Oryzias latipes: one gene and its partner. The protein of the gene in region 2 purifies or fractionates together with the protein of the main gene of each other region. This does not show direct contact. Links are inferred from orthologs where the notes say so. Each region holds a gene or a part of one and is shown on either strand. Other genes may lie near its edges.

Region 1 (4,401 bases), on a different chromosome or scaffold from region 2:
AAAACTTAGAGAAATGGTGCGTTCTTGTGGTGTTTGAATGATTGGAAGAATGAAAAACAACAAATCTTCAAACACCACATGGATGCTAGAGCAGAGTCCACAAACCTTTTCTTGTGAGGGCCACAATGAGTCTTTTAAAACTTTAAACTTCTTTTATTTTTATTTTATTTTAAAGCCCCATAATATAGTTTTACTGATTCATTATCCTTTCAATAAAATAAATAACACTATTTATGAAATCAAAAATGACCAAATAACTGATTTTCAAAGACAAAAAGTCGGGAAAAAATATACAGATTTATTAAAAAGAAAAAACAAATAGTGGATCCTCTCCCATCTTCGCCCGCTGAGACTTTGAGGGCTGCAGCTCCTCAAACGTCTCACAGTTTGCGCTAAAACTGAGCAGCTGCGCTGCGTCACGGCGCGTCTGTTTCTCATCCAGTAATAATGAAAAACGCAAATTTCTATGTCTTCTGCTGCAGCTACGCATATATCTGCGTTACCTTTTCACCAGTACAGAGTTTCCTTGTTTATTGCTGGAGTTGAGTTCTAAAAAACCACCTGTGATCGGTGAAATCCACAGAGTCTGATTATTTACAGAAGTTTTATGGCAGTAAAACTCACTGCCTAAACACACTTTTATCCGACAGACATGAACATTTTCACACTTCACTGTTTAAATTCTCAAACCTTCATAGAAATTAGGGCCAGGATCTTAGAATGAAAACAAAGATCTGATTTTTTTATGTTAAATTATATAGATCATTTCTGAATGTCGTTTTGCTGCCAGATAAAGGAACTTCCCCATAGTGGGATTAATATAGTCATCTACCATCTAACTAAAAGAATGAGCTGATCCGGGAAAGGTGAACTGCGCCGCAGAAAGGACTGTCTTCTGTTCTGTTTGACAGGGATTTTAGAGGGTTTCAGGTTGGAGCACAGAGGGGGGGGGAATAAAATGTCACGTTCTATGCGGGTCTTGATCATGTGGCCAGATAAAAAAAAAAAAAAACATGGGTCTCTGATATTGTTCAGTGGGCAGGACCAATCATGGAGGCGGAACAAATCCATCATGTGGGCCGTAGTTTGCCCACCCCTGCTCTACAGGGTCATGGACCAAAATGACAACATCTATAAGTAATGACATAATAACAAAAGTGATATGAAGTCTAGAAGAGCTTTAGAAAATTTGTTGACATATCCTAATATGTGTTGTCTTTAAAGTCCTGATCAGGTAATTTTAGCAATTTTTAAACCCAGATGTTGGTTTAAAACTTTATAACTGCATAAATGAAGCTGTAGTTAAACTCAAATAATCATTGAAATCCAAGTTAATCCAAACTTTAATTTTCAAGTAATAGTTTAACACCAAAAGTTGTGAAACTACTCGGCTTCAGTTTTTTGTCGTAAACAACTTTCTGTCTAATTTGCAAAATAAAGTGACACTCTAGTAAACCTGTCTCTAATTTGACCATTTAATATTTAGCTAAATGTCTACAGTCAATATGCCATATCAACCCCAGTCTTTAAAAGACAGTGTCCTAAGTCTCATTTTGTTACCCTAGCTTTAACTAGAGCCAACAGTCTGGATTCTAAATGTTTAGCTAATACCAAGTAGGAAAACGTAGAGAGAAAAAAGGGCCTAGAAAAGCCCCTTGAGACTTGGAATTGGGCACTTTTACAATAGCAGTAACACAAAACAGGATGCAGAGCATACAAACAACACAAATGTTCTTATTTCACAAAGAAAATTGAGTCTGAATATTTGTCTAAGCAAAAATATATCATATGGTTTCTTAAATATTTTTTTCCAAACTTTACAACAGCAAAAACTCACATAAACTTAACATATTTAGTGAGAGGAAATGTTTCCAATAACTGGTCCTTTATACTTCTACATCTATTGCTTGTATCCAATACGGTGAGATTTTAATCATTAAAATACAAAGTTTCACCATGGCATTATGCAACATTCCTGCAATTTAGGCTGGTTGATATGTCTTTGTTTTATTATTGTCTTAATGAAAAAATAAGAAACAATCCATTCATCCTCAATGAATACTTACTGATGAGATTGACAGTTAAAGGGGAGAGCTTAGCCTTTGCAAGAGAATCACTGAAGACTTTCTGTTTGATGCTGCGCTTGACATGTGGGTTCAATACAATACCAGCCGTCTTGGGGTCCTTGATCAGGACCTGAAAAAAAAAATTAGACACGCCAAACGTTGATATTTTGACAAATTAGACATTTTAAAAATGCACATCACATTTAAATCCATTCAATCTTAAAGTAAATCTTAAACACAAATCAGTTTTTTGAGAGCCACCAATTCACAAACAATGCTGTCTTGAGGCACTACAAAAAAATACATCAGATCCAGACATTTGTCATTACAAATATTTGTCTGAACTCACAGACACTTTCCCCAACTCCTGTTCAACTTGGTCCAGTTTGTTCTGCTTGCTGGCGGCAGAGAACAAAGCAGTGGCATAGCGGCCCTCCACTCCATAGATCTGGATGGGAGGCTGAAAGAGAATATACATTAACCAGGTCAAATGAAGAACCCGAACTATTCACGAATGATTGGTAAAACACCAAGGAGGAGTGTCGGCACTTACCCTAACCAGCTTTGCAACAGGTCTGATCACAGATGTGCTGAGCTGGCGAGCCTACAAACAAACAAACAAACAAAAATAATAGCTTCATTCAAAACGCAAAATAAAGTAAACGTTGATGCACAAAATCCGCATTCGTCGCACGACAAACGAAGCTAGCTAGGCTAACAGGTTAGCAGTCATTCAAGAGCAACGGATCGACTGCTTTCTTTTTCAACATTTAGTGCTATCTTTTAGTCAACTAAACTAAAAATAAATGTTACCAAACGCTTAATTCCCAATAAAGCCTTGAGTTTAGCGAGTAAAAAGCTTTAAAATATGCGTTTAGTTTCGAATGTCGTACCTGCTGTCCTAGCATGAACGCTGCCATTTTCTCCTACAGCTGTCCAAGGTAGACCAAAAAACTGCGCATGTGCATCAGAAAAGAAGCTTTTTGTGGGAACTGTAGTTTATTAGTGGGTTATTTTTTGACAGGCGCATTTATACAAGTAAGCCGAAATACAGCTCTACCATGTGTTTAAAATTGTAAACCATATTAATTCAGAAACATTAATACTTTATTAAACCATACGTAAATGTCTTTATTGAGGATAAAAGTTTACATTGTGCAAACAACTAAACATTTCAGTTTAAAAGACACATGCCTTTTTTTTTTAAACCAAGCCCTCATTTTTTACTTGTTTTAAGATTTTCCTTATAATACCTTTTTGACTTTCTGCTTCCCATGCTAGGGAAAAAAACATTTTTTAACAGAAGTGTAATGCTGAGGACACTTTACAGATAAGACATCAAGTCTGCCATTTAGGAAACATGACTAAATATTTGAGTAAAAGGGAGAAGAACATGTAATTGTTTAAAAGCTTTGAGCAAACGTCAATAAAATGAGTATCTGACCTTTTACTTTAGTTTAAATATGTTGCATTCTTGTGTGTGTTTTCTATTTTTAACTGATGATCAAGAGTTCACATGAGTAAATTGATTGTGAAAGACCAAACTAGTCATTGCCTCTGCACATTTTTTTGTTTTCTCGTGACCTCTGTTAATACCCTGTTGTCGCTACTAATTCCACCCCCTCCCCTTTTTTACACTGTATTATACGTACTTTACTTTAGTACAATTATGGAATAAATCGATCCTCTGTCTTGTCCCTTGTCTTATCACTAGATGGAGACAAATACAGACTTAGTGAACAACTTTGATAAGAGGCTTAGAAGTAGTTTGAAACGTTGTCAAATAAAATCCTATTCCTAAAACTCTAAAAGTTTTCAATGACATTTTTTAAAGTGTTAACAGGTTTTGTTTGAGGTTTTGTAATGAGTTATTTTGCAATAATCCTATAGATATTGGTAATACGACCTTTTCTTTAATGTACTCCTTGAATAGAAAAAAAATTGGTAGTTATAGGAGTCCATGTGTAGATATTAACCTGGCACAAGTGAAAATACTCAAAAGTTTAAGTTTATTAAGACATCAATAATTAACTGTCTGCACATCAAATTCACAGTAGTGCATTCGGGAGGGCGGAAGTGGGGCCCAGTTCACCTCAAAAAATAAAAGCACAATTTTAAAATGTCAAAATTTCTGTTCTTTAGGGCAACGTTATATCACTGTAACGAAACTAGTAGACAGTATATGAAACAACATGTTAATAATTTCCCATCAAAAATTAGAATTGATGAGAAATCTAAAATAATTTTGTGATTTGACCTCAATCTTCGCACTTGTGACTTGAAGATGAAATGCATTTCTCACTTCAGACATTTTTTTAGGTTCGGGGTTCTTATC
Region 2 (2,975 bases):
GTGTGACTTTCTCAGAAATGTGTGGAGTACTGGCCGGAGGACGCCGTCACCCATGAGGGCATTGGGATCCGCGTTGTCTCGGTAACCCAGGAAGATGACTACAGTCTCAGGGTGTTTACTTTGAAGGTTTGTGTTCAAACAGCAAAGACAAACTTGGGACGGGAGGAACGTGAGTTTCACTGTTTCTGATAACCAGAAATGAAGAGAAAATCGAAACAAATGTGTTTTTGACAGCAGTAAGAAAAGACAAGGGGCTGTGTGTATTAGCACAAAGGTCAAAGGGTAGAAATCACAAATAAAACAGATTTGATGTGTTGTGGAGTTCAAGGAAATTTGTTTTTCTGCTTACTTTTGTGTAAAAACAAAAAAAACTTAGGGAAAATCTATCCATCCTTTAATTCATCCACCCATCCATTCATCCATCCTTTTATCCATTCCTTCATCCATCCCTTCATCCCTTCATCCATCCATCCATTCATTCATCCATCCATCCATCCATTCCTTTCATCCATCCATTCATGTATCTATTCATCCATCCATTCATCCATCTATTCATCCATCCAGCCACCCACCCATCCATGCATCCACCTATCCATTCATTCATCCATCCTTTTATCCATTCGTTCATCCATCCATCCATCCATTCCTTTCTTCCATCCCTTCATCCCTTCATCCATCCATCCATTCATCCATCTATTCATCCATCCATCCACCCATCCATCCATCCATCCATCCATCCATCCATCCATCCATCCAGCCATCCATCCATGCATCCACCTATCCATTCATTCATCCATCAATCATCCATCTGTCCATCCGTCCATCCATTCCTTTCTTCCATCCCTTCATCCCTTCATCCATCCATCCATTCATCCATCCATCCATTCATCCATCTATTCATCCATCCATCCATCCATCCATCCATCCATCCACCCATCCATCCATCCATTCATCCATCCATCCATCCATCCATCCATCCATCCATCCATCCATCCATCCATCCATCCATGCATCCACCTATCCATTCCTTTCTTCCATCCCTTCATCCCTTCATCCATCCATCCATTCCTTTCATCCATCCATCCTTCCATCCATTTTCATCCCTTCCTCCAAAGCTAGCAGCAGTCTAAGTAAGTTACTTCCTCCAGCTCCTCTGGGGAATCCCGAGGCGTTCCCAGCTGAGAGTCGTGGTTTCTCCGGTGTGTCCTGGGTGTCCCCGTGTCTCTGCCTGGTGGGACATGCTAAAGCTCATTTCATTTTGTTTGCTTTTTTTTAGTGTGTTGCTTTACTCTTTGTGAAGAACTAACGGCCCTCTTTGATTCATTTGAGGTTGTCTACTTGAATTTTAAAAAATGATTTTTGCTCTTAGAGGACATGGACATATTTGGCAAAACTGCAATAGAAACACTTTTTTCTAACTAAATGAGTCGTGTGGCCAACAGCTCTGCACATCTGATCTCTTAACATCCTGTGTCTTCCATGCATTGAACTGAGACACACACAGACAGAAATGTGAATATATCTGCTTTTTTGACATTTTGTAGAATTTGGGTAAAGTTTTGCACATTTGCGTCATGCAAACACAGCTATTGACATTGAACTGGAGACGGCTCACATGGACTGGATCTGTGTGGGATCCTCGTTTAGATGTGCTCCGAGCTGAAAGCTTGTTGTTTGTTTATCTGTAGTACTGATAATTACAGGCAGCCCCTCAGGGAATTGTGGGAACTGATAGATTTGTACACGGCTCTGAAAAGGAAAGAATACGCTGAAAGCTTTTTTTTTATCTGTATTAACTGTTGTCATGGTAATGTGAAGCCCATTGTGACAACTGTGGTGTAATACTGGGCTACATCAGTGAGCCGTGTGGTTCAACATAGAGAATGACTCGTCTTCACTCACAGTACCTTTGTCTGTCTGCGGGTCAGTGTGGGGAGGAGCAGCGCCGTCTGAAGCAGTACTGGTACACCTCCTGGCCTGACCAGAAGACCCCAGACAAAGCCCCACCCCTTCTGGAGCTGGTACAGGAAGTGGAACGAGCCAGAGAGGAAGCCCCGCCCTCCAGTGGCCCAATCATTGTCCACTGCAGGTAAATGCGTTTAAGTCTGAAGCCTTTTCCATGAACGTCAGTGTCACAGAAAGAATGAAGCGGCTGACGGAGAGACGCTCAGAGAAAATCTCATTTCTGCAGACTCTGCAGCCAAAAATAAAAAAGACAAGAAAGAAAAGGTGTTGAGCATCAACATCCCACCGTTTGGCCACCCTATTAAAAATATTCTAGACACGGTCCTGATTCTGGCCTCCACTCTTGGCTTTTTCAGTGCTGGGATTGGTCGAACAGGCTGCTTCATCGCCACCTCCATCCTGTGCAAACAGCTGAGGACTGAGGGCGTGGTCGACATCCTGAGGACCACCTGCCAGCTCCGTCTGGACAGGTGAAATCCTTATTGCTCATTTTTGTTCATAAATGACTACATTTCACATTTCAAACTGCTATTCTCTTTTTAGAAAATAATTTATTTGAATAAGCCAGTAAAGTTCAGAACATGCTATAACCCTTGTGCTATCCTATGGGGTCCAGATGACCCCCCCCACCCTTCCATTGACGTGTTCTCCCTACCATGACAAAGGTGGATAAAGGTGGAAAGATTTCATGTAATCCATAGACACCAGTGAAGATCACAAATCATTGAAGAAAAAAGGTTCAGAGCACTGTCTAGTGGGTCTAGATGACCCACCTCCCAACGTTAAAGTGCCTGGATAGCAAAAGGGTTAATGTAAAACATCTGTATAATTTCTTTTCATATTAGATCACACCTCTGAACAGAACCGGCTTTTCTAAACTCTAAAACATGAGCCACACCTAAAAACCTCTTGTCTGATGTCATGTATCTGTGCTTCCTCTGCAAATCTTTCGAAACCAATTGAAATGTTTGGACAAACGTTGAAGAAGCTGAATTGTCTGACACATGATT

The links.
Region 1: the proteins of tyrosine-protein phosphatase non-receptor type 5 (region 2) and atp5po purify together in Homo sapiens (affinity purification with mass spectrometry; 3 studies listed by BioGRID and IntAct, with this or other methods). This does not show direct contact. The link is inferred for Oryzias latipes from reciprocal best matches to the Homo sapiens genes PTPN5 and ATP5PO.

What each region holds. Positions count from the first base shown.
Region 1 is NC_019868.2:17,462,041-17,466,441, forward strand, and holds the start of atp5po (ATP synthase subunit O, mitochondrial), read right to left. Parts: upstream 3,044-4,401; 5' UTR 2,987-3,043; coding exon 2,960-2,986; intron 2,671-2,959; coding exon 2,620-2,670; intron 2,527-2,619; coding exon 2,416-2,526; intron 2,197-2,415; coding exon 2,067-2,196; intron 1-2,066. UniProt on the Homo sapiens protein: Subunit OSCP, of the mitochondrial membrane ATP synthase complex (F(1)F(0) ATP synthase or Complex V) that produces ATP from ADP in the presence of a proton gradient across the membrane which is generated by electron transport complexes of the respiratory chain.
Region 2 is NC_019864.2:31,277,963-31,280,937, reverse strand, and holds part of tyrosine-protein phosphatase non-receptor type 5, read left to right. Parts: intron 1-15; coding exon 16-126; intron 127-1,928; coding exon 1,929-2,089; intron 2,090-2,321; coding exon 2,322-2,435; intron 2,436-2,975. UniProt on the Homo sapiens protein: May regulate the activity of several effector molecules involved in synaptic plasticity and neuronal cell survival, including MAPKs, Src family kinases and NMDA receptors.